4 linked regions of the Lonchura striata genome follow. The protein of the gene in region 3 purifies or fractionates together with the protein of the main gene of each other region. This does not show direct contact. Links are inferred from orthologs where the notes say so. Each region holds a gene or a part of one and is shown on either strand. Other genes may lie near its edges. The genes, in order: KIFBP, EIF2AK4, PPP1CC and KIF18A.

The links.
Region 1: the proteins of PPP1CC (region 3) and KIFBP purify together in Homo sapiens (affinity purification with mass spectrometry; 3 studies listed by BioGRID and IntAct, counting the BioPlex papers as one, with this or other methods). This does not show direct contact. The link is inferred for Lonchura striata from reciprocal best matches to the Homo sapiens genes PPP1CC and KIFBP.
Region 2: the proteins of PPP1CC (region 3) and EIF2AK4 purify together in Homo sapiens (affinity purification with mass spectrometry; 3 studies listed by BioGRID and IntAct, counting the BioPlex papers as one, with this or other methods). This does not show direct contact. The link is inferred for Lonchura striata from reciprocal best matches to the Homo sapiens genes PPP1CC and EIF2AK4.
Region 4: the proteins of PPP1CC (region 3) and KIF18A purify together in Homo sapiens (affinity purification with mass spectrometry; 4 studies listed by BioGRID and IntAct, counting the BioPlex papers as one, with this or other methods). This does not show direct contact. The link is inferred for Lonchura striata from reciprocal best matches to the Homo sapiens genes PPP1CC and KIF18A.

What each region holds. Positions count from the first base shown.
Region 1 is NC_134609.1:34,940,916-34,948,578, reverse strand, and holds the start of KIFBP (KIF-binding protein), read left to right. Parts: upstream 1-4,644; 5' UTR 4,645-4,672; coding exon 4,673-5,014; intron 5,015-7,286; coding exon 7,287-7,385; intron 7,386-7,663. Other genes in the region: nucleolar RNA helicase 2, read left to right, coding at 250-411, 970-1,089, 1,515-1,588, 2,345-2,504, 3,048-3,182, 3,562-3,606, 4,047-4,226. UniProt on the Homo sapiens protein: Activator of KIF1B plus-end-directed microtubule motor activity. Required for organization of axonal microtubules, and axonal outgrowth and maintenance during peripheral and central nervous system development.
Region 2 is NC_134608.1:32,223,870-32,231,261, forward strand, and holds the start of EIF2AK4 (eIF-2-alpha kinase GCN2), read left to right. Parts: upstream 1-4,380; 5' UTR 4,381-4,408; coding exon 4,409-4,561; intron 4,562-6,143; coding exon 6,144-6,259; intron 6,260-7,379; coding exon 7,380-7,392. UniProt on the Homo sapiens protein: Metabolic-stress sensing protein kinase that phosphorylates the alpha subunit of eukaryotic translation initiation factor 2 (EIF2S1/eIF-2-alpha) in response to low amino acid availability.
Region 3 is NC_134620.1:11,979,151-11,986,865, forward strand, and holds the start of PPP1CC (serine/threonine-protein phosphatase PP1-gamma catalytic subunit), read left to right. Parts: upstream 1-4,699; 5' UTR 4,700-4,809; coding exon 4,810-4,864; intron 4,865-7,715. UniProt on the Homo sapiens protein: Protein phosphatase that associates with over 200 regulatory proteins to form highly specific holoenzymes which dephosphorylate hundreds of biological targets.
Region 4 is NC_134608.1:61,993,975-62,001,209, forward strand, and holds the start of KIF18A (kinesin-like protein KIF18A), read left to right. Parts: upstream 1-4,233; 5' UTR 4,234-4,388; intron 4,389-5,041; exon of another isoform or gene 5,042-5,170; 5' UTR 5,171-5,229; coding exon 5,230-5,554; intron 5,555-6,220; coding exon 6,221-6,378; intron 6,379-7,235.

The sequences.
Region 1 (7,663 bases), on a different chromosome or scaffold from region 3:
ACATGGTTTGCCTATGTACCATCCGCAATAAAAAATTGCAGCAATAATTTCTGCTTGTTGGCCATGCTGCTTTCACAGTAAATCCCAGAGAAGGATCAAATAAAGTAGGATGCTTTATATTCCTTTGGTATCAGCTATGTAATTATTTTCTGTTGCTGTGCACAGTGTTTTGAGGTTTGCAGTTACTCTTTAGATGCTGCAGCCTAGACTCCCATTAAATGTCATGTTAATGGCTTGTTTTATTGACAGGATGCCCAGTCCTTGCATGGTGACATTCCACAGAAACAGAGAGAAATCACATTAAAAGGCTTCAGAAATGGTGTGTTCGAAGTGCTGATTGCAACAAATGTAGCTGCCCGTGGTTTGGATATTCCTGAGGTTGACCTTGTTATACAGTGCTCACCACCAAAAGTAAGTCATTAGAGGAAACTAAAATTGGATTAGCTTTATTTTGGTGCCAGAATAGTGGGTTATTCCTTTGTTTCATCAGAAGTATGTTCTGTTCCAATTAATTTTTGAATTAATTAATGTTTTGTAAATGTGAGGCCTAAAATTTCATAGTTACAGTTTTTCAGTTTGAGCTTTGATTAAAGTCTTGGGTTTTGTTTACTCTGGAAACTCACAGGTTTTGACATTGTGAAACTTTCCTGAATTCTTTCTGCATGTTGCTGAGTTTCATAAAAATTCTAAAATATTTTTGCTGCTTTTTTAATCTTTTGCAACTCCAGTGGAACATTTTATTTAGAAAACTTAAAATGTCTGTCAGCAGTGTTTGTTAAAGCTGAGCAGCATACTTTGGGTGGGGGAGCACATGCAATCCTGAGTGGTTTATGTGTAATTGTAAGTTTGGGTATAAACACATAATGTGTCACTCCTTAGGCTTCTGAGTTTGAATTTAGCTTGTGTTTAATCTGAAATGTCAGCAGTTTAAATAACATAGTTTTCTCGTGTTGATCTGAATTTGTGAAGGATGTGGATTCTTACATCCACCGTTCTGGACGCACGGGCCGAGCGGGCCGGACCGGCATCTGCATTTGTTTGTTTCAGAGAAGAGAAGAAGATCTTCTGAAGCAAGTCGAGCACAAAGCGGTGAGTTGTACCTCAGAGCTCTGCTTAAGGAAATGGATCAGCTCCTGAAAGGACCCTGCCACTCTTGGACTTGGTAATCGTGGGTTGCTGAGTCCAGAATGGGAGTGTCCAGTGCCATAAACTAGTAGGCCCAAAGTGCTGATATTTGGTGTTTGTAAATGCTTTTGTGTTGGCCTGTTCTTGCATTGCCTGAGTTTTCCCGTGCAACATGCACTGTGTGCCTTGCATCACAGTGTGCATGTACATTGGAGTGAAGTAACTCCAGATTAACAAAGCTGGGAACTTAAAAGCTTTTTTATCACTTTAGAAATGACTTAATAAAGAGTATGTTGATCTTGCAAACAGTAAGTAGAGATCTCAGTTACATAATTTAGACAGGACTGAATTGTAGACTGCTGAAAATACCTTTGTTTTCTTGATTTCAGGGTATTACCTTTAAGCGTGTGGGTGTTCCCTCTGCTACAGATGTAATTAAAGCTTCAAGTAGTGATGCCAAAAAGTAAGTTTATTTGCCTGTTCTTGAGAAAGATTTAGAGATGTTGTTGCTCTAGATGCTTAAGAGTTTAATGCACAATTTTAAGGGATCAGGCCTACATGTGAGCATGGCTTTGCCTGTGTTGTAGAAGTCAGCTGCTTTGTGTATAGCAAACATAAGATGGTATCAGTAACGCTCTGTGTGCTGAACACAGACATTTTCATAGAACATAATGTTCTCTAAGTTTTTGCAGCAAACGAACCTTTGTTTATAAAATCAGAAATCAGTGACAGAAGAAGGAATTACTATCAAGAGGGGAAGATGATTTTATCTGCTCAGATGACGTGGTGGAAGCAGTGCGCAAAGAGCAATACTTGGTATAATGAGGAGTTATTCTGCAGTAGTGAGGGTGTTTTAGCCCTGACTTTTGTTTCATTATATTATTTCTGAGGGTTGTGGCTCTGTTTACATCATGCAGCTCTGTTTAAATTTGCTGCCCTGTGGTGGAAATTGCCTTGAAGCAGGTTATTATAATTAGTGAGGATTTGACCAGTATAAAGTAGATGATGGGCATGGTATTTGGGTTCACAGTGTACTGAAAAATGATGGGGGGAGTGGTTGTACCAGAAATAGCATTACAGAAGTATCTCTTCTTGGATTCCTATCTTTTTTCCCTCCCTACCTTTTTCAGAAAAGACTGATTTAGGGTATATCTTAAACATGGCTGCCCTTCACAATGGCCTTTTCTTATCTCTTTAAACCCATCTTGTAACTGTGTAGGTTGTTGGAGGCTGTTCCTCCTGCTGCAGTGGACTACTTCAGAAAATCGGCCGAGGAGCTGATAAATGAGAAGGGGGCAGTGGCTGCCCTGGCTGCAGCCCTGGCACACATTTCTGGGGCAGCTCACATCCAGCAGCGCTCCCTGCTCAACTCAACAGCTGTAAGTAATGATGTACCCCTGGTAAAAAGGATGGATGCATGAATTGCTTGTGTTTAGGCCATGTCTGGCATCTCATTCCCAGGCTTTTCCTTCTGGGTTTCTGAATAGCTGTTGTCCCCAGGTTCCTTAGCTGAAATCAGCTGTTCCAGGAGAAACTTAAAATCAGTAAACTTTCTTGTGATGAAAATGGAAAGAATTTCTCCAGAGGCTGAAGTGGCAGAAAACTTTGATGCTCTAAGAGAGTTTAACTAATGACATTTTACAATTAATGACAATTTACAAGCAAATAGATTAGTTTGTGCTATTGTGGTTTCCCCCTTATCAAGAATCTTCTACATTTGTCGTAATGCAAGTACAGCCTGTGATTACCTGATCTGTATTTAGGGAGGATGTGGCCTAGGCCCTTGTGTGGTAACCCCATTTTGCACGTAACTGTCTGATTGAATTGTAATTCTTCTATCACTTTGGGTTTTTTAATCTGTTTTCTAGCAGCAGGTTTGACCACGTTCAGCCTTGATAAACGTTTTTCTCCATTTCCTGCAGGGCTTTGTGACCATGGTGTTGAAGTGTTCAATAGAGATGCATAGCATGCGCTATGCCTGGCGGGGGCTGAAGGAGCAGCTTGGGGAGGAGGTCGATAACAAAGTGTCTGCAATGCGTTTCCTCAAGGGGAAGATGGTAAGGTGGCCCAGCCTTGGCAATGAAGGGATGTGGGGCTTTGTGTGTGTTCACATGTCGCCAGTTTGTGCAGGGATTGAGGCTGGAGTTCTGAAGTATTGGTACAGAATGTTGGTACTGCACTGTCCCTACTCAATCTCATTTCTCAGGAAATGGGTAACCTAGCATGAGTATGCTGTTTATGCATATGCTATTGGGAAAAGAAAAGGCTTTGATATTAGTTGAGGGCTTTAAAAGACTTATTAGATAGTACTCATATATGATGATGCAGGAATTGCCTCCTAAAAAAAAGCATCAGAAATAATATGTAGTGGGATTGGTTACTGAGGCTTTTATTCTTTCATTGTTAATCAGTGCCTCTTTTTGTTTGTTTTTTTAGGGCGTGTGCTTTGATATCCCTGTTGATGAACTAAGTAGTATACAGGTATGTTTGTGTAGCCAGAGCTGGCTTTAAAACCTGGTGATATGAAAACTGGCAATTGCCATATAAGATTGAGTATGGGGTGGTTAGGGAGGTTTGTGGTTTAATAAGAATTTTGCATAGGCAACAGAGTGATTAGAAAGAGCACAGCATAATCATTAGAAAATACCCTGCCATGCCTCTTCTCATTTCCATGATATTACTTGATTTCATTAAACAAAATTCTAAGGTCTTTGGCTTTTCTGTGGTCTGGCCTCTCCAGTGTACTTGAGAATTCACCAGTTTTCTGTTGACTTCATTCTCTCTTGTCCCTTGTGATTGTTTAACCTTTGTCACAGGACTGTGAGGGTCTCCCAGGGGGATCTAATGGCCTGTTTTGGCAGGAGTGGGATTTGTCTGGAAATGCCTTAGCATAAAGTCTGGTTCCATGGGTCTTGTTTCAGGAGCAGTGGAGGGACACGCGGCGCTGGCAGCTGTCGGTGGCCAGTGAGCTGCCTGAGCTGGAGGAGTATCCGCAGGAGGGGGGACGAGGCTTCTCCAGGTTTGGGAACAGCAGGCAAGGAGACTTCAAGAGAAACAGCTGGTTCAAGAGCGGAAATCGGGGACTTCAACAGAGCACTTGATTGATCTCCCCTACAAATAGTGGGACTGAACTGAATTTTATGAGGCAGTAAAAACCTGTTAGCCTCCTCTTTGTCTTTATTCCTTGATAAAGCAACCTTGTCTTTGAGGATGGCGAAAAATCATGTTTGCTGAAATGGCTGGGTGTTGTGTGAGATTTTTTTTTCTGCCCAGCAAAGTAGCTGCTGCCTGTAAGGGCATATGTGACCCAGTGGGTGTGCCTGGAAACTCAGCCCTGCGAGGGACCAGAATTCATCCAAGCACGGACAGTGACCGCTCCGTGGCTCTTCAGCAGCGCTAAAAAATCGAGTTCTGAAATAAATTTTTGTCATAAAAGCTGGCGTCCAGCCTGAGCGGGCGGCGGGCTGGCCGCGCTGCGGGCGCTCCCTCACGGCCCGCCGGGGGCGCGGCCATGGCGGGGCGGGGCGGCGCGCGGGCAGGCGGGAAGATGGCGGCGGGCGCCGGCTGGCCCGCGGTGTGCGAGAAGTTCCGCGCCGCCCGCACGCTCTCGGCCGTGGAGTCCCTCAAGGACCCCGAGACGGAGCCCTACCGCTCCAAGTACAGCGCCCGGGCGCTGCTGCAGGAGGTGAAGCAGCTGCTGAGCGCCGCCGAGGAGGGCGGCGAGGCGGTGCTGGCCGTGCGGCGGGCCGTGCTGGAGTACGAGCTGGGCGTCAACCACACGGACACCGAGGAGCTGTCGGCCGGCGAGGAGCACCTGCAGCGCTGCACGCAGCTGCTGGAGCCGCACCGCCTGTCCCCGGACTGCGTGTCCCTGTACATCCAGGCCCAGGTGGGCTGCAGGCCGCGGGGCTGGGCGCGGGGCTCCGGCGGAGCGGGGCCTGGTGTCTGGGGGCTGGGCCGGCTGCTCTATGCGGGGGACTGTGAGGAGATCCGGGCTCCCGCGTCCTGACAGCTGCTGCTCGTTTAACCGTAATAAACACAGCAGCCCTGGCCTTCAGTTCTTGCCGGAAGGAGTCGTTCGCAAGTGGTGGCCGTTGGAGGGGTGCTTTTCTGTTTTGAGCCTCCTGCTGATGCCTCTGGGCATGCGGAGCATCTGAAATATGGCCTCGTTGAAGCTGGGTGTTGATAGATCAGCGTGCTCTTCTGGACAGGCTGAGACAAAACTTGTAAGAACTGTGCCCGAAAAAATTAGAAAAAGACCTCACTACGTCCAGAATTTGTGATTCCTTAACTCGCTGGTTGTCAGAGTGATGCTGGGGGATGCTTTATTGATGCATTATCCTGAAACAATATATTGTTTGTTTTTCAGCACTGCCTCTTATATTGTAAGCTATTACATTTTGTCCCAGATGGATAAATACAGTTTTGTTGGTGCTTGAAGTAATAATATTTTCTCTTTATTCTGAAGAAGGGAATACTGTTACCAAAATTAGTTCTTGGTGCATGAGGATTCACAGAAGGGCCCGTACTTGATCCTCTGTCATGGTAGCTGGTGGTTAGGTATCTGACTCTAGACCATGAAATAGTTTTCTAGTATATGAAATAGAGCAGTTATTTAGATATCTGTGTCAAAAACGGTTGCCCTAATTAGAGATGGCTCTATAGTGCTTCCTCATCGAACTGTCAAGGAATTGTGGGCTGACATGGAAAGGTGGAAGTGAAAGGATCACTTGTCTTACACTGGTTAAATTGGCTGCGTTGTCTGGGACAGTGAGGTTGCATCTGCTCCTTGTATTTCAGCGTGAGGGTTTGGATACGCTGCTACAATTCTGTTACCCTTGGGAAGGTAAGGAGATTGCTCCAGCTGGAGCAAAATAGCATCTTCCCACACCTTCCTGGGGAGATGTGGCTCAGGACCAGAGATTCCACTGTGCTTCTGAACTGGTGTGCTGGAAGGCAGCTCTTCTCTCTCTCTGTTAGCCCAGAGTCTGCAGGACCTCAGTGCTTCGGGGCCTTCAGGAAGCAGCAGGACGGAGTTTGTTATGCATGTGGAGATGTGGTCCAGCAGCGCTGGCTCTGCTGGTACCTGGCACTGTCCTGAGGGGTGGAGCTGAGCACAGCGCTGGGAAATGAGCCCTCAGCCCAAGGGCTGGAACAGGCTTGAGTACTTACTTTAAACCATTTCTGACTTTAAAGCAGTGATTGCCATCAGTGGAAGTACTTTTCCACCTTGTGAGGTGTCTACACTGTGTTGCCATGGCACTGACTGGCATTTTGTAGGAAGAAGCATTCCTTTTTCCTGCTGGGCCTCTTTTTTAGCCCCACTTCTGATTTCTGAGCTCTTGCATAAGATTGTGTTTCCCAGTCTCTGCCTAATGGAGTCTGGTCTGTTCCACTGCTTGGCCTTCGGCAAAGTGTTTCAGTTCATAAACAACATGGGATGTGCTTTCTTATAAAAATAGTAGAATGGAGTTGAAAGGGGCAGAGGGCTGGCATACAGCTGTACATTCTAATTATTTTGAAGGTTTTTAGGGTTTTTTTTTCTTTTGAGTTTCGTAACAGCACTGCCTAGGATTTAAACTAGCACATCATTAGGATTATTATAAACACCACCTTATTAATAAAATGAGAGGTTTTTTTTGTTAAAGTTGGGTTCAGAGATGCAGTTGCTTTAATTTAATTTTGAAGGCAGTAGTCTATAACCTTTAGACCTCAGAGGTGCTTTTCATCCTTTCCATGGTTCAAATATACAAGCATTCATTCCTAGCATATTTTTTTCTTGTTAATTTTTTCTGTGGAGTCATGTTAACAAAATTCTGATTTCTTGTCTCTTTTTATGACATTTGTCTGTGATGTAAAAGCTGCATGAATTGGATGCAGAACATACTCTGTGGAAAAAGCTCATTATTTGAACACACTAGTCCTTCTCTAGCAGAGTGAACAGAGTAGGATTGAGGTACATTTTTATATGAAATTTTCTGTGTGAAAACTCCCTCCCTTTTGAGCAACTCACAGTGAAATGTGTGGGTACAATTTCTGCCTTTTGAAATCCATGGTATTAGAACACAAATATATATAAGGATGAAGACTGATGAATTGTTTGGAAAAAAATGTGTGATTAAAATGGAATGTGACTATTTTTTTTTTTCTTTTACCTTTAGAACAATCTGGGGATCCTGTGGTCTCAAAGGGATGAAATTGAAACTGCACAAACTTACTTGGAATCTGCAGAAGCCTTGTATAATCAGTACATGAAAGAGGTATTGTGTTAATGTCGTGGCAGGTCTTACTCCCATGTGCCACTTCCAGGTTAAGTAATCCATGAAATAAACATGCAATGGAATTTTGAGTTTCTGTGCTTTATACTGGCTGCTGTGATACTTATGCCAAGTGATACAAGTTGTACTGCAGTATAGGACAAGGCAAATTAGAGCATTACTTGCTAATTTCAAAATAGAAAAAAATTTGCTCAAAAATAATGGTCCCTTTTGAAAGCCCTTTAATAATCCAAAGTTGATGCCTGGTAGAATTTGGATTT
Region 2 (7,392 bases), on a different chromosome or scaffold from region 3:
TAGTGAATGAATGCAGCGCACAGGTCAAAAGACGCTTCTGAGGATAAAAGCCCGGTCTCTGCCTCTCGGAGGCATCTTCACCACATTCCTGCGTCCCGAGAAGCAGGCTGACTGTTCGTCTTTTCACCTTGTAACTCATGACAGCCAGCAAACAAAAGCAGAAAACAAGCCAGGCTTCTCCTTCCCATCAGCTGTGCCATAGTTTTTACTTCACACCGCCACAGGTCTCCTCAGCATGTTTTACCGCAATATGCGAGAGAAGGGATCCCGGTCCCCAGAATCACACCCCGCACCGCGGCGGGTCACACGCTCGCACGGCCGCGGATTCACTGCACAGCAAAACCGGCCTGCAAGAGTGGGGGCCACCAACTCTGTCCCCTCACTCTCAGCGTTGGCTCTGGCTTTGCTCACAGCCCTGAGAGAGGAAAAGCATGGCTTTCCCGGTAACACATCTGCTTCCGCCCTCTCCTCTGCTCCTGCCCGCTCCCTCCCGCCTCTCTGCGGGCTGTGCGCGGCGCCGGACGCCGCTACGACCCCAGCACAGCGTCCAGAGAGGCCAGGGACTGCTCAGGGGCTGCCGCGGCGCTCCCGCTGCTCTGGGCGAGAGGAACCGGGGCTTGACTCGCAAGGCGGGGGCGCTCGAGGCGGCTCCATTCGATCCCTGCGCGGCCCGCACTGAGCGCGGCTGGCAGCGGCGCCCCTGCTCCGCCGAGCTCCCACATCCCGGAGCGGCCGCCGAGCCTCTGCGGCCCCGAGTGCCAAACCCCGCGGCGATCCCGAGCCGGGCCGAAGCAGGAGCGCCCGGCCCGCCGCGCTCCCAAGGGCGGGCGCGCCGCCATCACGGAACCGCGGCCGCGGCGCTCGGCGGCGCCGCCATTTCGCTCGGGGGCTGCGGGAGCGGGCGGGCGCGTTTTAAACCGGTGTTTTGAAACAGGTCCCTAATTCTGATGACGCACTGTCAAAATACGGTGCTGGGTTCTAGATACGCATGTTGCTTGTTAAAATAGATCTTTTTCTAGATGAGTAATTTTCCAGAAAAGCTTGTCAGTGGACGTAATAGGTTCGGGCATTGATGGTGTGCATCCATATAGTGGGTACACGATTGTCTTTAATTTGGAGGTGTTGGGGAGGTGCTAGTTGAAAATTAAGCCAAAAAGGTTTTTTCAGCCACTGGCCGCCAGTCTGGAAGTGCCCCAGGAAGACGAGTTACCCATGTGGTCAGCCCCTACACAGCGCTGCTTCCTCAGGGACCCAACACTTATGTGTTCAGTGACATATGCCCAGTCTCCTGCGATGTGAACTTTGGTGATCCAGGACAGACCTAGGTGCTGTGCCATGTGTTCAAAGGCATTTGCTGACCACAGGAATATCAGACTGCCATTGTCCCATTCCACTGCAGTTCCTGGAGGCTGTTGGCCAAACCTCTGCTTGTACCTCCATGTGTTTGGGCCCAGGCATTTGAAGCCTTCTCTCATTCCTCTGGGAGTTCATTGCTCCAGCCACTTTTCTACTAAGTCATGTCTCTGACTCACTCACCCTCCTACCTCTTCCACACACTCATTCACTTTGTCCACCCAGTCCCATTCTTCCCCACTTTCCAAGCAATAATCAGCAACTTTCACCATGCTTTCCCCTTATCTTTCCTTTCCTGAACAGGCTTCTTCCTCCTTTTGGCCTCCAGCATTCTTGTGGCCAATGTCTGTAACCAGAGTCTGACCTCAGTCCCTTCAGCTCCCAGTCACCTGCAAGGTGCTCTTCCTCACACAGCCATCCCTTTCTTCAGTTCCTCCATTGGTATGGAATGATGACTAAGGAGGCAGGCAATGCTTACTGTGTATCTGATGCGATGTCTGCACAGATCTGCATAGTCAAGAAAGATTGAGTTTTCTAAAGGAAGAGGTCCTGTGGGCATAGGATGGTCCAGGTTTGACTTAGGAATGGAACAGAACAGAAGTATGTTGCATGACTGGAACTTTGAAGGACACCATGGCCAAAAAAGAAATCTTTGCCTGATTAAAAGTCATTTAAATATTTACAAACTCACATCTGCATATGCTAATAAGCTTAATGAAGTACATGCTACCACAAAAATGACTGTATTATTCAACACTCTGCTTAGACCATGCTGTAAGTAAATGCAGCTCCTCTGATCTCTGGAGACCAGCTGGAATGCAAGAGGTTTTATTTTCTGCCAAATTTCTTACTCTTAACACTCGGAACCTTTTCTGTCCCTCCTGCACTTCATAGGAAGACTGACTTCCCCTCACTGTGCACATGGGGAAGTGAAAGCACATTCTCACAAATCATTTAAATTTTATTTGCTAGAATTAAATTTTAATGTTGTGGGAGAGAGTTTTAAATTTTGCCTTAAATCTTGGAAGCAAAGCTTCTGTCCAGATGCAGTCTGGCACATGTTTGAGGCAGGTGGATGTTCATCATATTCCAGTAAAATGGTGCTAAGCATGTGAATACTCCCTGCAGTAATGTAATTTGGTTTAGTTCATGCAGATTTTCAGAAGGTTAGTTAGCAAAGCCACAGAACTTGAAAAAGGTTGTCTCTTCCTCATCGAATTTTCACACTCCTGCTGGAGTACAAGACTTTTAAAAACAAATTCTCAGAATGTTTTTATGATTATGTTAGTTTACTCTGGCTTTCTTCTTAGAAACAATGAATCATTATAAAAGCAATTAAGGAGAAAAAATAGCTTGAGGTAGACATCTGGTCTAGAGCACTTCATCTTAACTGGTTAAAATTTTGTCAAGTCACAAAAGTATGGGAAAGTCGGGCAGCTTTAAAAGGCATACCCTTATTTGGCCCACCCACTGCTATACAGTGTCACAGGGAGAAATTTCCCATGTGGTGGGCTGTGTGCCCCACACCACATGCTCGGGAAGTATAAACCTATAATCGCTGTTAAAGGAAATTTTGCTGACATTTCTTAGTTACTATATCACCAAGTCATTCTTGCTGTGTATTTGTGTGGGAGAGAAGATGAATCTGTGGCCTAGACACTTTTATTTCCAGTCTTTAACACAGGGAAACTTTTTATCTATTATATACAAATTGATAATAACTATACCCAGCTGTACCAGAGGAAACTCCAGTGATCAGTTACAGTGCCCCAGGACACAGATGACTGAGCAAAAAAGTATGTCTCTGTTGTTGGTAAACACTATAAACATCTTTGGTCATGCATTTCCCACCAAAAAGCAGGTGAGCTAGAAAGACCTTGCCACTAAAGACACATTCTAGGAATGGTGAGGAACGGAGACCAGCATCACAATAGTGATACAATTTAACACTTGTTTTTGGTTTGATACTAACGAGGTTGTTTCAGTGCGACTGAAAGATAAAGTGTGGGTGGAACAAGCTTTCAATTTCAGAAGTACAAATTGAGGGCTATAGAAACTGGTCATTAGCGTAAATGAGTGGTCTCTTTATAACAAAATATCTGTACTCAAGGGTCAGGGAGTAAAGTCAAAGTCACCAAAACTCCATTCCTACATCTGGGTGAGTGGTAGCAAGCTGCAGACTACTGTAACACTTTTCTTTGCCTGGGGATTACTTTACTTAATGGATAAGCTTGTATGTATGAATTTACTTAGGGTTTCTTTATGAAGATTCCAAAACTTTAAAGGCTCCCTCTCGTGGCAGTCCTTTTCAGTAATTACGGTGTGAAGTGACCGAAGGAAAGCACATTTTCTTCTCTGGTTGTCACTGCTCCCTGACAGTCCCCAGCTGCCTCTCTCTGGCAGGTCCCACCAAGCACACCCGCCCTCACTTTTTTGTTTGCAGTTCAACAAAAAACTGTTCGCCCTCCACCTGCTATTACTCACTACAGCAACTATCGGTGGGAACTTTTCTACAGTTTCCACAGGAACTACATGAAATCTAGCTCTACATGAAATCTATACTGAAATCCGTGGTTAGTGTTTTCCTTTTGTAACTCTTTCTCAGTATCAGTTTTAAATGAACTACACAGTATCTCACTGTCTTTGCTGTGTATCCCTGTAATGCAGATATACCTGGAGGCATATCTTGAGGGAGTTCAGACTGGACATTAGGAAAGGTTCTTCACCCCAGAGGGTGGCTGGTCACCGGAACAGGTTCCCAGGGAAGTGGCCGTGGCACCAAGCGTCCCAGAGTTTGGACAGTGCTCTTAGTCACTGTTTAGTATTCGGGAGTCCCGTGAGGAGCAGGGCGCTGCACTCGGCGATCCTTAGGGGCCCATTCCAGCTCGATGCATTCCTGCGGACGAACCACCGGGGCCCACGCGGCGCCGGCAGCCCCGGCCCCGGCTCCTCCTCCTGCCGCCGCGGCGGAGGCGGCGCCGGGCCCGCTCCGGCTCCAGCCCCAGCCCGGCACCGGGGCCCGCCATGGCCGCTGCGCGCCCCCGCCGCCGCTGACATGGCGCGGGCCAGCGGCGGGCGGCAGCTGCCGGCGGAGCTCGCCGCGGAGCCGCCGGAGAGCTACCAGCTGCGGCAGGAGAACGAGCTCCAGGTGCTGGAGTCCATTTACGGGCAGGACTTCCAGGACCTGCGGCAGAGCCAGGCCTGGAAGGTAGCGAGCGGGGCCGGGGCCGGTGCGGAGCGGGTTCGGAGGGCGGCGGGGACGCGGCTGGCGCTGCCCGGCTGAGGCCGCTCCTTGCCTTCCTTGCCCGACGTGTCGCGGCTCTCGCTGCGTGCCCGTGGTCCTTCCCTCAGCCCTGCAACCGGCCCCCTTTGCGATTGATTCTCGAGATAGCAGCGCTCACTCTATGATCACACCCGTGCTCATGAATTGCATTCTAAATAATTGTTAGGCTTTTTAAATATTGCCTCTTAATTAATTCCTTAACCTACTAGTTACATACTTGCTCAGCTAATTAATCTCGTCGGTATACATGATGATATAGTTATTATAGTTATTATATACCGTGGTTTTGTTGCAATGCCTCTATTTCCATGATAATAATTTTGCTTTCATTTTTATGGGTGTGGGGTTTTTTTATTACCAGCTCAGGCCTGGTACTCACTACTCTCTTCCATTTGTCTTTTGGGTCCCCATCAAATTGATATTTCCTTTCCAACTGTGTCCATGATACTGTTTTCCTGTATCTGGAGATAATGGTCACTATTCTGTTCCACAGGTTCACTTTTACTGTTGTTTCCTTTTGCATTCTTGCATCTTGAATGTCTATAAGATATCCTCTGCTTTCTTTTGTGTCAGAGACTTGAAGTTAAATATTTTGCAGCATCTTATGACTTTTTTCTCTTTTTTTGAAGTTTGGTAAGAATACTTAAGTAATTTGTTGGGTTTCCAGAAATATTCACTCTGTATTGAAGGTCATATCTGATACCCTCTTCACCTGACATGATCTCCTCCTTGCTGGAAAAGCAAAGGGGACAGTTACCATCTGTTTCTGTATTTGTTATTACATGTAGTCTTACTTCACTCCCTGTTTTTCATGTTGCTGAGGGCTGGGTTGTTTTGTTGCTTGTTTTTAAACCTAATTGAAAAGAAAAAGTTGGGAATACTTATATGGGCGTATTTTACTTTATTCTGATTTTGAGTAGGTAATTTGAGCAGGGAAGGGATGGGAAAGGCAATGCTTATTAAAATTCTGGTTTATGGCAAAACACAAAATACAACTACAAAAAAAAAAAAAAATACTGTCCATTTGTTTGACTGTGTAAGGTGTAGATCAGTGTGACATTATGGTCTGCTGCCATGTCAGAAAGTAAAATAATGCCTGGGTTAGTAATCTAAACACAAATGAAAAATGCTGTTGTTATAATGAATGCTTTAATTTGTGATATAAATAACCTGTGTTAAGTTTATTTATTTTTTTCTACTGTTGTCTTAACAGTAAGCAGAATACAAAAGTTTTATTATAGAATCTAATTTTTGCTCAGTCTGAATTATCTTTCTAATGGCTGTAACTATGCTTATCTGAAGACTTTGTAAAAATATACTGGATATACCATGATAGTCAGTGGACCAGACCACACCTATTAAGCAATGTCAACATATTAATGTATTTTTTCAATGGTTTGGATGGTCTAAGCTGTATTCTACTATAATATAGATTGAGAGCTGTGTGATTTTATTAAAGCAAAACCAAACAACCCTTTTCAATCAGAAGTTTTGGTTTGTGTTTTAGGTACGACAACCTCCTGAAATTAATTTAGTTCTGCGTCCTCAGGGATTGACCGGTGCTAATGAAGTATATGCCAAAGTTGACCTGTGGGTCAAGTGTCCACATACTTACCCTGATACGTAAGTGAATGTTAAATTATAACCTCTTTTCTCTGCTTTCTGTAGCAAAGTGTAAGTTGAAAAGACATGTAGTTTTATTCATCACTTAGTCTTGCTTTCTACATATCAGTATTTATTAAGCCTGGGGTATTTTATAATATGCAACCCTAAACTTTGGCACCTGAATTGGATTTAGTCTTTTTGTGCAATGGAGAATAATAGGGATCAGTGTGTCAGTGCAGAAGTGCAGCCCCAGTTTGTAGCTTGGCGGTACATGACCACAGGTGTACCTGCCACTGTCTTAGTGCCCTTGTTAAACTTCGTGAACTCCTGACTCTTTCACCTGAGACAGACTGAATCTCCTTTCTATTTAAAGCCATCTGTTGGATTAGCTTTTGGAAGAATTCTCCATAGAGAGTGTAGGAGTTGCAGGTGACCAGCCTACCCCAGCATTTTGTGTTGGCAAGTGATTTTTGTGTTAAGTGTTGCTCTGTGTGCTCTTTTGTTTAGTCCTTATTCCACTGATAGTCCAAAACATAACTCCCTTCAGTCCATCCATTTGTGCTGTGGCATGAGTGCTGTAGAAGGGAAATGCTATTCCTTATTAAGTGATAGCTCAGTTATACTCTATAACAAGGATGTAACAGCTACTCATTTTTTTGTTTTAGTTTAAAACAACACACCTACATTTTCCTTGTTTATTTTAAATATTTTTAAATATAGCTGATATTTATTTATTGCATTTGTTTCTTAGGTTTTGTGTTATCTATATAGTGGTGATAAATAAATTTTAAACATCTAAATGTTGTCTTAGTAATGTTGTAAATGACTTGTTCAATAAGTTAATGGTTAAGAGCAGGAATTATTAAGTCTGTAGTGTTTCTTTGGTAGTTCTGCTGATAAGTGTTATCAAGAAATAATCGGCAACTGGAAAATTTGATGATTGGGAATATAATACCATATTTCTGACTTTATCTTGTATATGTAATATTTATATTCTGCTTATTTGAGCATTGACTAATTGCCAAGTAACTGTGAATACCATTCCTTTTCCCTCACACAGTTTTTATCAACAATCTGTTACTTTTTGCACTCAATTTTCCTAATGAGGACTTTTTTATGTTTTGTTGCTGTCCCACAGAGTTCCTGAAATA
Region 3 (7,715 bases):
GAGCCACGTGAGGCTGCAGCCACACAGAAATGTCCCACATGGAGCAGCAAAGTGGGGCTTTGAGTGGCTTCTACTTGTTTTGCATGGTCTGCTCACATCCCCCTGTGCCACTACATCCAAGTGAGCTGTGCTGAGAGTTGCTGACGCTGCGAAGGGGAAGTTGTGCTCACCCCACCACAAACTAGCCGGAAAAGGGGCAAAAACCCCCTTTGCTGGGTGTTCAGCACTGGCTGCTGTCTGTGTTTTTTCCTTTTCCCCTCTGAGAACAGCTCAGCTGAGCCCCTGTGGAAGCCCACAAGATCTTTCCAGCTGGTTATGCAACTCCCTTTGGCCGAGCAAAGGGATTCCTGAGGAAGAGGGGAAGACAGGGCTCCTCTCGGTGCCAAAGCGGCGTCAACTGATCCGCCACGGCTGCTCTCCACTTAAAGCAGGACAAAGCCTCCTTTGGAGCTCTTTCTCCTCTTTCTCCAAGCAGCAGAGCAGATGATGGCCATGCTTTGCCCAAGGATGCTCAGCCATGGACAGGACACATCAAAATGGCTCTTGTGCCTCATCTCAGAGCTTTAAAAGTCAGATTCAACTGAGAAATTCATCAGGAGTATGGAATATGCTGGGTTTTCCTAATCCAAAGTGCTGCAGCAGGAAAAATCCTATAGTGGTCACTGCTATATTGGGAAAAAAAAAGGGACTTATGATATTTTTAAATGAGAAGGATTTTATTGATAGTATTTTTGTGAGCATGAACCTTCCAAAATTCACCAATAGAATATTTTTCCATTTGAAAGTACCTTTCACCAGAAACCCATGAAGTACAACAACTTCTAATAAATAAATTTTTAAAAACCCACTAGGAGGAGAGGAATGGCAAGTCATATTTCTCCCATGTCAAAATTACCTGTCTCAAAATTTTCTGAGCTGAATTTTTTTAACTTTGGTATCCAAAAAATGGGATTTTAACAAGCTTGAGATGGACTTGCCATTGATGTTGACAGCTTTTGGGGGATGGTTTCAGATGGAGACCGGTTGTTAAGATTGGGAAACCATCAGCTTGGTGGAAATCAAGGCCTGGCTCTGTTATGCAGGGTACACCCTTGAGAAGAGTGTAAGGAAGTCTCCAGCAGGAATCCTGCTGCTGGCTGCCTGGGAATGAGGTCTCATTCCATTTCTGCACAAGGTTTGAGTCCTTGGAGAGCCCCAAGGCTGTGCTGGAAGCTCAGGAGCAGCTGCCAGCCCCGAGCTCCTCGCCGGGTTCCGCACAGGAACGCGCAGGATCCACAAGTTTTGTTGCTGGAGGGAGATCGTGGCACCGCGCGTTTTGTAAATAAAACACGACACTAAGAAAACTCCTGCCTGTGCGTCATCAGCTCCCCTTGCAGCAGGACACAGACCCTTCCATCTCCAGATCAGCCTCACAGCTCGCTCCGGCTGCTTCTCTTTTGTCTGACAAATCAGCGCCACCCACCCTCAAAACCCTGCTGAAATTTGGGGGTTAGCAAAATATTTTAGGAATGAAAAGCAAGAGTGTGCATGAGGCTTTATCTCAATTGTAACGCCAGGCAAGCTGGGTGCAAACAGTAGGAGTTATGAAAACATTGGAATCCTGGCTGTGGAGCGAGTTAGGAAAAATAACACCTGACCTACAAGTCACCCATTCTTGTTTTAGCAGTGTTTGGAGAGCCCGTGTAGATCTTTGTTTGAAATGTACACAAACACACTGAATTTCATGGGCTTAGCAAATATGTAATCTAAAAGTGTGGGTGCTTCACATTTCTCAGGATCCGCCTACAAACAGGGATAAATCAGGGAAATGTAATTATTTTTTGTACATATATACACATGTATGTTTGTGTACATGGTGTAAATATGTATTATATTGTACTCACAGTATATATTTATATATATGTACAGAACAATACTGAAATCTTATTTTTCTCTATATGTAGGTGGATATTATATGTATAATTTATATATTCTTAAACTTAACCAGATTATGAGCAACAATACAATAATAAAGCAACACTTGCAAGAGAGGGCAAGGACAAATCACTGGGGAAAGGTGTTTTACACAGAGGTTTCCAAGGAATGAGACCAAAGTGGTGATTTGTGGAATTTAAAGGGGGGAAAGGAGGAAAAGACCCAGAGGTCTCAGAGCCATGAGCTGTGAATGATTTGTACTGAACAAATTGTTAATCACCATGTATTTTGCTAGTAAGAAAGTAGGAAAAGAATTGTAGACAAATTGAAAGAAGGGGTGGAGTTGTTGGTATATGAAGCGTGAGCTTCAAAATTATGGAGTGCTTCAAGCCCATGTGCAAAATTTAAGGACAAAAGGATTTCCCTGGCTGTTCCCTCTCTGGAAATAAATCTGTTCCTTCTCTAGAAATAAATCATTGTTGTGAGCAACACCAGAGAACAAAACAGCTTCATGATACTTATAATGCCTTGGTTGGGTCCCTTTTCTAATCAGGGTGTGGGGCGAGGCTGGTTATTTCCTGCAGAGAAAAGCTACCTTATTAAAAAGATAATTTTGTAGTGGCATTTTAATATAACTCTGGCTCTCCATGGAGTTTACTGATAAGGAAGGGTCCTTTTTTTTTATGATAATGAGAAAGACCCTGTGCAAAAATCCAGCCTGCTCCGAACAGGACACCAAGCATTGGCAGCTGCTGTTGAGATTTAGAGCTGGAACAAGGCGAGTTGGTTATAAAGGTGATGACGAGGCCTTTACAGATTCACCTTTATCTGTCATTTCTCTTCTTTCCTCCTGGCTACACCTCTTTTTACAAGAATTATCAGTGCTCTGGACCTTGCCTGATATGGTTCAGCAAGTGAGACAGATTCTTTGCCCTGACCTTGTTTTGAAGGGCCAGTTCTGTCCTTTCAGAAGTATGGAGTTTCCAGGTGAATTCCCAAGTACGTTGTCTGGGTTGACCTGGGTTGCTAAACTCTTCCCCTCCATCCCATTTCCCAGAGAGTTAACAGGAGTGAAAAGTACTCAACACCCACTAAAGGTGCTCAGATCCCCAGAGAACTTGTCCCTGGAGAGGAGATAAGAGCTGAAGGGTGAGATGAGATGAAGATATTTACAGAAATGAAAACAAGGCCAGGAAGGTTCCTCTGGAAACACAGGACCAATTTTCCTTGTTAAATAGTTCAGCTAAGTCCAAGAGAACAACTCGCCCTGCAGAATTAGGAAGGATTTGAAAGAGAAAGAAAGTATTCGGTGCAAGAGCCGGAGGGGCCCTTCCCCGAGAAGGTGCAGCACAAAAATAGATGTAAATCTGCAAAGGCTGTCACGTTGAAGCAAATCTGAAGTAACTCTATTGTTTTCCATGGGGTTACTTTGGGTTTACACCAGCGTGACTAAGATTAGCATATCAGCTTGGGCGTGCTCCATACGATAAGTGTTCGCTCGGGGAAGTGGAGTGTTGAGGCTGCTCTTGCAAGGGGCCTGAGCCTGTGTTTCAGGTAGACTCTGCATCCTCTTATCTCCTTCCTCCCGCAGACCTGAGGTGTGCTGAGACTGCAAGTCCTTTGCTTTATCACCCGCACGAATCCGAACTCTGCTCCGGCCCCACCACGGCAATGAGCTGCAATGAAAATTGTATAACTGCTGGCAAGGAGGAACCCGACAGGATAGTGGGAGCAATCCACCCAGGGAAGGGAGGGGACGAGGAAAGAGCTCGACACAGCCAGCCCCGCAAATTAAAGTAGGAGTAAATAAAGCAATAAAACAATATTCAACTCGAGGTACAGACTGAACGGTGGGGAAGGCTCGCACAGCCTGTCTCCTGGACAAACACCATCCAGTTTAAACCTCATTTAAGTGCTTGTAACCAAGCTGTAGCTACATATAGAATAAAATAATAAAAGTGTGAAATAAACAGCGAGATGCTTTTGAACGAGGAGCTTCATTCCTTCATCTGCAAGGACTTGAAAGTGCTGTACGTTTGTTTCTTGAAGGATTTGCAGGTGCAGAGCCACGTGTCTGAAAGTGCTCAGGAGCTGAGGAGCTGCTCAGGACACCTTGCCTCAACCCGTGAGGTGGAGGTGGCTCAGTGTGAGGTGAAGGACATCACGGCTGTGCTCCCCCAACCCTGAAGTGCCCCAAAATCCCACCTGAAGCCACCATCTCCCCCACATGTGGGTGTGAGGGGCAGTGAGGGGATGATGTGAGGGCCATGGTGGCTCCTTGATGTCCTCTGCAGATCCCAGTCTGCAAGAACGCCACAAGGTGCAGACCTTTCTCCACAGAAAAAGGTGATCAGACATTGGAACGGGCTGCACAGGGACGTGGCAGAGTCCCTGTCCCTCAGGGAAGGACTGAATGTTACACTCCTCGGTGACATGGTCTAGGTGACATAATGCTGTTCGGTTATAGGCTGGACTCGACGATCTCGCAGCTCTTTTCCATCCTAATGGATCCTGGCACCCTGCGACCGCCACCACTGATTCTGTCGCGACACCGGGAGGCGGCACCGCCGCACTACTTCCCGTCCCGGGAGCGGCAGGATCCCGCGAACCGGGCCGCATCACCGCGCCCGCTCTTCCCGCCCGGCCTATGAAGGGTTTCCGACGGGCCGCGTCGCGCTCGTTCGTATCCGTGCGCCAGGCGAGCCCGCTGAGGGGACGGCGGCCATTTTGTTCAGCGCTGGCTCTGTGCTGAGGGGGCGGGGGGGGGAGCGGAGGGAGCGAGGCGAGGCGCAGAGCAGGAAAAGGGCAAAAACGAGACAGAACGAGGAGCGCAGTCGGGCCGGCCAAGCCGCGAGCGGAGCGGCGGGGAGGGCTCCGCCCGGCCGCTGAGAGGCGATGGCGGATATAGACAAGCTCAACATCGACAGCATCATCCAACGGCTGCTGGAGGGTGAGGGTCGGGGACGGCGCGGTTGGGGGGGCGATGCGCCCGGCAGGTCTGAGGGGGCACTAAAATGGAGGGGCGAGAGGCGCTTTGTCTGCCTGGGGTCGCCGCCTCCCCGCCTGGCTCGCCCCAACTTTCCCCTCAGCCCGTGTGGGTTTCCGAGGCGTTTCTGCCTTTTGATCCCCCGGTGCAATGCTGGGACCAGCCGGCTGCCCCCTTCTCGTCCCTTGCGGTTCTAAGGGGATGCTTAATCTAGTCCTGTGGTGGAATGAGGGGATGCTTAATCTAGTAGTATTTCGTAGGAAGGGCTTTGAAAAAGCCTGGGGTGTTCTCTTGCCTTTCACGCATACACATGGGATCAGTGCATGGCTGGGTAGTGGCGGGGCTCTGGAAATAAGACTCGGCTTGTTTAAAGAGTGTTGAGGCAGCTTTTCAGCAAGTCGGGAGGAGACTGCCGTGGGTTTCAGTGTATGCTGGCTTTAGCTTTGATTAGCTGCTTGCATTAAAGCTGCCACAGGATTTTGGCTCTTAATTCGTAACATATGGTGGGATTTTAGGTGTGAATAGAGGGTTGGGGTTTGGTGTTTCAGACAGTCTGAAAAAGGGCTTATTGTCTGCTATTGTTGGTGCTTTGGGATGAAAAGAGTTGCCTGGGAGTTTGTAAATCAAGGGAAAACCTGGAAGTTGCAGGGGGTGTCTCCAGCATCATCCCTTCGCTTGCAGGGATCAGCACTGGGCTGGGATCGACTGATTTTGGGGCAAAAGACTGAGAAGCTGCCAATGACAAATTCTCTTCCAGGCATCAAGGAAAAGCATAATTATTCAAAGAAAGAAGCTATGCTGATCCAGCCTCACTTCACGTGTGCCAGGGCAGCATCTCATCTGGACTTACTCTTGAAAAGCTTGGTCAGGGATTTAACTTTTTACCATTTGGCACACAGTCAGCTGAGATGGTGCTGAGAAAAATGATGAAGAAATGTCTTTTCTTGCACACTTTTCCTTCTTACAGGATTTTGCTTGTGTAATGCTTAGATAGCAAAAGGTCAGGCAGAGGAACAGAAATTCTACTCTAGAAAATTGGAGTTAAAAAATCCTGTAGATGAATTATGGGATTACTGAATAAGTAAAAGTAAATGGGGTTTTTCCTCTGATCCGGTTTGGGTTTTGCCTGTTACCAATTTAAACCGCCCTGGTTTCAATTATTTAAAGACTTCCCTTCATAAAGTTAGACCAGGATTTTCCTGAAAATCCAGTAATACAACTTGTAAATGTCAGGTCTCGTATGTCATATGTTTGGTGACATATTAATACATGCTCAGTTGAATTGCACTCATTAGTTATAGTTCTTACTGATTTCACTTACTGTAATTAATGCAATATTTCCAAAGTGTGAACTTTAATTTTTAAAAGCATGGCTTAGACCTTTCCTAGAAAGAAATGCAAGTGATTTCTCTGTTTAAAGTTTCAAAAGGTAGTAAGACGTACTATGTCAATGTGTTCTGCTCTTGCTCAGTTTATATCAACATTAGATGGTTGGAGCAGATAAGAATTCATGAATCAGGCTTCAAAAGGTTTACTGACATATTTTAAGAGGTGCTTCGTGCAATTGCAGATGTTACCTGAGGTTGCATCAGCTGCCAGAACTGAAATTAATTTTTTTCCCTTTATTAATACAGCAGCTGGGATTTTGGATGCCTTGAGGCAATGATTGTCTTTCAATATTTAAAACAATTACTGGTGTTAGTAACCTGTGCTAGTGCTTTATTTGTTGATTATTAAATGTCTGTTCTAAATGTCTTTGCCAGACAGAGAGTAATGACTGACCTTTGTGAGTGTCATTTTTATACTTCTTTTTCCTAAAACATGGCTGCATTTCAGCACACACTGCATTTTAGATTTAGATCAAAGAAATTATTGGTTTTCAGTGCAGTTCTGGTAGAACAAGTGCATAATGTTAGTTACACAAAGTGTGGTGTGCCCGTGAGCTCTGTGTCAATACCCCTTTAGACAAGGCTACACACAGATTAAAATCATACTCAGGCATAAAAACACTGCAAAATCTGCTTTAATAATCAGCTCACAAACTGAATTGCCCAAATCCTTGTGCAAGCTGTAATTTTAGAGCTATTTGGTATTTCATTATAGCTCTCTTTAAACTTTAAATACTTACACATTTTTATAGCAGCTAACTTTAGGTGATTTTGGTACTAAAATTTAAAGAGTATGAGCAGGGGGTTTAGCCCTTTCTAAGGGTAACAAACCCCAGCACTAATGAAATACTGGAAATCAGTGGGCAGGTACAGTTAGGTATTTGTTTTATCATGGTCCTTAGCATTGCCCTGTTAGAAGAAGCAGTGAATTGAGTCTAATGGTTGAGGTAGAGTGAAGGGTGAATAATAAATTATTCTTGCTTTTGTCCTTAATAAAGGGTATTAATAATGTATTTGTGAAGGATTTTAGTTGCTTTCTATCCTGACTCCTCTGCTCAACTGACATTATTCCTACTTTTCCCTCAAATAGGGATGTTCTCCCACCCACATTAGGCTATTTAGGTGAAATTATTATCTTTTTCTTTAAAAGGCCTGGAAATATATACTTCAGCTTCTCATTCTAAGGTAAATATTTGAAGAGTCTTCCTTGCTTCAATTGTTTATAGTACAGAACCATTTGGCATTGAGATGTCACCAAAAAAAAAAAAAAAACCCACCACCATTTTTCAGTAGCATTGTTCTCAACCTGGGAAAGCCATTCAGGGAAAACATTGAAAATACTGGTGTGTTTTTTTATTATTATTATTTTTATTTTTCTGTAACCGAATTTGTATTTTTTTCCGTTCTTTACTGATGAGGGTTGTGTC
Region 4 (7,235 bases), on a different chromosome or scaffold from region 3:
GGGAAGAATGATGTATGAAAATCATGAGGGTATCTTGTGAGATAGTTTGTGATTGATAGGATATTTTTAATAAAGCATTTTTTAAGTTACTAAAATTTAAAATGACATCACAAAAGTCAGGAAAAAAAAATTTAGTTATGGCTCCTCTTTTTCAGCACCACACCTTTTGGACATATTCTTAGTAATTTTATTCCTGGTATTTCTGTTATGTGCAGAAGTGGAACACATGTCTAGGTTCACTTCTTCCCTCTATCCATTTTTAAAAATTTTTGAATAATGTTTGTTTTCAGGGAAAGTTTGTTTTTCTGCTCTTAATGGCCTGGGTCATAATTTCTGTTGCTATGTTTGACGTTTCTACAGTGTGAATTCGGTAGCAGTAATATTAGTAATAACAACACCCCAGCAGATAAGAAATAGAAAACAGAGGGTTTAATAGTCCCATCACCAGAACACTTTTTTCATGTGAATAACACGTGCCTGAAACAGCTATCTTAAATGACATGAAATTAAATTAACTAATATTCAAATCTTCCAAGTCTTCCATACTTGTGGAATTTGGATTTGGTCCTTTGCTCTTGCTCAGTCTGGGGCTGGGCTGTTATGAGACACCTTTTTTTTCTTCTTTTGGATCTGCTACTAGTTCAATTGTCTGGGCAGTAGAGCTGTCAGGTAACTGCATTTTCCACTTCCCCTTCTGCAGCTCAGAGGAGAAAGGGGGATGGACCTTCTAGGACCAGTGACCTTCTCTACACCAATCCTGCCTCTTCTCCAGAGAAGGGCTACATTTTTTCGGATTCATTTGGCTTTCTATGGGATTGCTACTTGTACAACCTTGAAGGTAACTTTGAAATCAGGACAAGCTGGCTTTAATCTTTATTGTTGAAGCCATAAAAGAGCTTGCTTTAATATTTTCAGTAATGTTTTCCCAAAATTTATTTTCACGTCAGTACACTCTCTTCACACCCTCAATAATTCCACTGCCTATTCTCCAAGACTTAAAATAACTAGTTGTTTCTTTAGCTTCCAGCTCTACCTTTGGGAAGAGTAGCAGATTTTCCTCTCATTAATTCACTTCCCATTATTTAATCTCAGCCATTTTTATTGTCAGTTACATGTCTTATTACTATGCTCATGTGATAGCTTTCCTAGTCATCACTGACCATTTTTATTTCAGTTTGGCATTTTCTCTTTAATGTCTCTTACTTTTAATTTAACATATACTAATTTTATTTTAAAAGATCATCAGTTTCCCAGTAACCTATTTTGCTGTCTTTCATCTCTTCCTGTTCATTCCTCAATTATGAACTGTAGAGACTATGGACAGGTTTTATGGGATATATATTATAAAAGCAGGCTTTTGGCTGTGAAAATAAACAGAAATTTAAAAATTCATCAGAATTAAATGAAGTGGAAACCTAAATCCACATGCTAGGCAAAGACCCTCATTTGTCTTGCCATACATAACATAGATTTTTCTTTAAACAGGCCTTCACCAAGAAAAATAGATGTGCTGACCTCTTACCCTTAGCTCTATCAGAGGACATGCAGAAATGTCTCACACTCCATAAAGTGTGACCATACACACTTAAAGCTAATATTATATATAAATAGTATTTTTTATATGTAAGTATAGTATATATATCTATTTATATCTATTGTATGTAATACTATATATTGAATTATATATACTAGTATTATATATTAAACTAATACAACTATATAATATATATTGTTAATATAGCTATATTTATTATATTATGTTATATTATGTTATATTATATGCTATAATTATTTATAACTGCCTCTCACTCTTGTGTAGAAACATAATAGTCTCTCACTGGAGACTATACTGTTTGGAAGAATCCCCACCAACTTTCAGACCATAGAGAGGTGGGTTCAGTTCTCGTTGTTAACTCTGTTCCCTCGTTTCCACTGAAACATGCCTAACTTGAAATGGGAAGGTTTACCTGTCAGTTCTGCTGTGTTAATCCTTTGTTCTGCTGCTTGGAGAGGTCAGTGGGCTGTTTGAACAGGGATGGTGGTACAGCTGCTCTGGCAAACTGCACTGATGCCACGCTGCAAGGCTCAAGGGTTATGCTCCCCTGAACTGACCCAAAGATCTCCAACAATTCCCGCCCACAACCACCGCCACTTCCTAGCCTTTTGTTCCTGTCTTTGCCTCACCTCTTCACTCCAAATGCCACTGTCTGGGTGCACACAGTGACTGTTCAGATATTTTGATAGCATGGCCATGAAATCACAAATCGTTTCTTCTCAATTTCAGTAACTGTTTCATCCCTGCTGGGTTAAATAGCATCACTTACTACCTTCTGTAGCTTCTATCTGTCTGCACAAATGAGCAGGCAACATGTTTTGCTTCAGATACGAGCAAATTTTTGGGAAACTGATCCTTGATTCCAACACTTACTAATTTAGAAACAGATAATTTTCAATATAAGGTTTTAATTATGGTCTCATTTATGGCAGTTCTATTATTGTAAAATTGACAAATCTCTTGGATAGCCAATATTCTTATGGGCAGCATGACTTAATACATGTTAAATACTACACATTTAATTTTACTGATAAAGTCTGAAATTCATGTCATCTCACAACCTTACATATTCTTTCAATCAAAAAACTCTCCTTCTATGTCTGCCCCTTTCCACACTGCTAGAAATGGCAAAATCAGGCTTCTGAGATTCCCTTTTTCTCTTTTTCAAGTGAAATGCAAAGGTTTAAAAATCACTGGAGAAAACAGGAATTCAAGCCCTATATTATTTACATGAGTAAGAATTCTACAGATGGAGCCTGACATAAAGGTGATTCAGTGGCGTGGGTTAAGAAATTTCTCCAAACCTTTTTACACAAATAGGAATATCTCATCTAGTGTTTTTCTGAGACTTTTATATTGTATTTTGAGTAATTACATATTTCAGGTATTTTCTTTATGTGTGGACTTACTGGAACTGACTTTTCATTGAGCAGTGAGGTAGACTGGTAAAATCTAATTTGTAGTCTTTGCTTCCAATACAGACTACAGGGACTTTACAGTAATTCCCCCAGCTTAAATTTGCAAGTGCACCTCACTCTAGCTTTGGGCAGACACGCAGGTGTGTGTTTCACCACAAGCCATAGTGTGCCTACAGAAAACACATCTATGACCATGGTGTGCTCTGCTGGTTTTGCCCGGGCTGGAGTTAATTTTCTCCCCAGCAGCTGAGCTGGGGCTGGTTTGGATTTCTGCTGGCACAGCACGGAGGAGACACAGCTGGGCAGGAGACCCAGATGCACCCAAGGGATATTCCAGACCAAAGGACACGGTAATCCGGACAGAAACGCGGGAAGAGGACGACTGGGGTGGTGGCATTGGTGTTCCCAAGTGACCACTGTTATCTGCGATGGGCCCCGCTCTCCTGGAGATGGCTGGACCAGGGGAAGGCATTCCTTGTTTTGCTCTGCCTGCCTGCACAGCCTTTGACTCCCCCGTGAAACTCTCTCCACTCAGCCGCTGTTTCTGCCTTCCCACCCTTCCCCTTCTGTCCCGGCCCCTCTGTGAGGGCGAGGAGCGGCTGAACGGGACCAGGGCCACCATCCCCTGCCCGGCCCGGGGGTGACGCGAGGGACTCCGCTCACAGCCACGGCCTCCTGCCCACGGGAGATCTCAGCGGCGAGCACGCCGGCCGGATTTCATTTCATTTCTCTAACAGTGCTCGCCAGAAGGGAACCGGGCCCCACTGCAGGCTGCCGCCCTGGGATCGGCCCTGCGCTAAAGCAGCGAGGACAAAATCCCCGCCCGAAGCACTTTCGGTCAGAGCCGACCGGAGCAGCGGCAGCGGCCGCGGCCCGCGCCGGGCCCGAGCGGGAGGAGCGGCCGGGGGCTGTCCCCGGCCAAGCCGGGCCGGGCCGGACCGATACGCGGAGCAGAGGCCGCCCCGGGAGCGCCTCCCTTCCCTCACGCCGGCCGCCCTTCCCTCCGCGCCCTCTCTTCCCTCCCCGCGGGCCCCGCCGCCGCCCCCCGCGCGCCCGGCCTCACGCACTTACCGCCGGCGCTCCGGTGACGTCACAGGCCACAGCCAATGGGAAGGCGAGGAGCGCGGCCTGGCCGGGTTTGAATCCCGCGGCCGGCGGATGGCGGTTGGTGCTGGTGCGGCCGCGGGGAGAGCGGAGCGAGAGAGCGAGAGAGAGAGCGGGCACGGCCCGGGGAGAGCAGAGCGAGAGAGCGAGAGAGCGAGAGAGCGAGAGAGAGAGCGGGCACGGCCCGGGGAGAGCAGAGCGAGAGAGCGAGAGAGAGAGCGGGCACGGCTCGGGGAGAGCAGAGCGAGACAGCGAGCACGGCTCGGGGAGAGACGGAGCGAGAGACGGAGCGAGAGAGCGAGCACGGTCCGGTGAGAGACGGAGCGAGGGAGCGGGCACGGCCCGGCGAGGGAGCGGGCACGGCCCGGGCACGGCCGGCCGAGCCCCGGGCACGGGGAGCGGAGCCCCGGCCGCAGGCGGAGCCCGGCAGCGGCTCTGCGGCCGGCCCTGGAGCGCTCCGGCCGCAGGGCCCGGCCCGGCGCCGTGCCCCGGGGAGGAGCGGCCCGCGGGGCCAGGCGCTGCCGCGGAGCCGGGCGGGCCGGCAGCGGCTCGGCCGGGAGAGGAGCCGGCCCTGGGCCGGCAGCGGGAGCTGCGCCGTGTCCGCCGCTGGGGTGAGCGCAGCCGCTGGGAACCGCAGAAATGGGATATGCGAGGAAATCCCGCTCGTGTCGGTCACTGCGGCCCGTGCCGGGCACCTTCACCTAAATCCCGCTTCAGCTCTTCAACGCTCCCTGCGACGTGGCTGTGTCTGTCCAGGGAGGGCAACACGGGAAAGGCTGCTGGCTTTAGCCCACAGAAACGTGGTGTCCGGTCTGAAAGCTGGGTCTGCTATAGAGGGAAGCCTGTAGGGCATTGAGTATTTGAATTGTGAAATGAACTTCAGAGTTCCCTGGGGCAGTGCTGGTCGGCTTTCTGAGAGCTGTGCTGAGTTCAGTCATCCTTTGGGGCGCTTACAGAGCTTCCCAAAGCCTCGCTGCCCTGGGGCAGTCCCATGACAAGGGATGGGCCCAGCACAGGGCCCTGACCGAATGTGTGAATGGCTGGAAAGAGTGAAGGCTCATATTGAAATAAATGTTCTCTGTGTCAATTGCAGAAAGGATTCAGCTGCTGGATCTGACCGAGTGCTGGCAGTGAGGCTGGGGAGCAGGAGGGATGACTCCAGCCAGGGAAGATGTCTGCAGCCATGTCAAAGTGGTGGTCCGTGTCCGGCCAGAGAGCCAGAAAGAAAAGCAGGGCAGCTTCAGCAGGGTGGTGCGTGTCATTGACCAGCACGTGCTGGTCTTTGACCCAAAGGAGGAAGAGGTTGGCTTCTTCAGCAGAAGGAGAGTGATCCATAGGGATATCAATAAAAGACAAAGGAAAGACCTGAAGTTCATGTTTGATGCCATTTTTGATGACAGCTCATCCCAGTTGGAAGTTTTTGAGCATACTACCAAAAATCTAATTGATGGCTTCCTAAATGGATATAACTGTACAGGTAACTTTGTTATTTATCTTATTTAATTGAAAAACTTACGGGGATTTCTCAACATTTGTACCATTCTGTCCAATAGCTGCAGGAGCGTTAAAAAAGCCTGAGATAGAAATAAAGCATTGTGATTTAATTCACAGATATGAAAGGCTGACATTTTAGCATATAGAAGTTAGATAGCTCTACTCCATTTTAAAAATAAGTTTGTGTTAAGGTTATAATAGACTTGGGAATTTTATCTAAAATATATGTGATAATGGGAGTCCTCTAGAGTTATTCAAGCAGAAGCAGTTGTGTCACTGAGTGTATGACATAAGCTGCTTTATGAACTCTTTAAGATCTTGGGGCTTTTTAATTGGCTGCTGGACTCTGGTGAGGAATTGAAATGCCTATCAGCAATAAGTTGATGGCTTAGGGTTATGAGAGTAAGTAAATAATATTTTTATGTGACGTAGCAGTGAATGAATTTTGAACTGAAAATTCGAAAATGTTATTTGGAAACATCTCTAATTAGAGATCTGAAAGGTAAAGTTTAAGTAAGAAACTATCTATTTATGAAACAGTTGTGCAGAATGACAGAGGTCTATAAATGTTCTTTTGTCTTTGGTGTTCCTGATTAGCTTACAAATAAGTTACATGTTTTTGTTTTGTCGTTGTTTGGGGGAAATTCAGTGCTTGCATATGGTGCAACAGGAGCTGGAAAGACTCACACAATGTTAGGTTCTCCTGAAGATCCTGGAGTCATGTATTTAACTATGGTCACACTTTATAAACGCATGGATCAAATAAAAGATGATAAAACATGTGATGTTGCTGTCTCTTATTTGGAGGTGAGTTCCTGCATTTTATATGTTGCTTTGAATAAGTCATATTTGTAAGTAAAGACAAGCTGGTTTTGCTTTCCTCTGGTCCTTTCTGGGGCTTGACAAAAGGTGTCCTTATAGGAGTGGAACTGCCTTGTTGGTGTTCCTTGTTGGTGATTTGTGTTCCTAGGCACCTATCACTGTTTTACAGAATGCTGCCCAAAAAACACCACTTCTACCATACTTACTGATTGTTCATGATTTGTGTCTTGCCTCTGAGCATCTGTTGATGTGTACAAGGAAATATCATTTCAGGGTAATATTTTAGGACTTCACAGTAACATCCTGTAATACTGTGAAAAAGCACCACAAAATGGTCTTCTGTTTTTACAAATAAATGTTTTGGCACTGTTGCTGAAGGGTGCTAGTCAAATGGTTATCTTTTTAGCTCCTTCAGTGTCTTAATGGACTCTAGTTGGTACTTGGGAGGGGTAGAAGGAGATGGGGAAAGTTTGCCTTGCCATATGCTTCTACAGACCAAGAAATAAGAGATTTAAAAATTTTAACAGAAGTAGGTTTGAACTAAGAAATGTCACTGAAGTAGGGATTGTGATACACAATGGGGAAAACCAAATGCTTTGCATTCATGCTTGTTGCAAAACTGTTTTTTTGTAAAAAAAGGTAATTTTTTCAATAAAGAATAAAGATTATTTACTAAAAATAATTACTCCTAAAATCTAAAAAGAAATCATATGAATTGAATATTTAAGCTTGGTATGGGGAAAATGTAAAAAAATTATAGCCAGAATTCTTTTCTTTGTCCTAAAGGAGTATTAAAAAAGACTGGTGAATTCTGTTTATTTAATTCTGTCAGCTATGGGAAG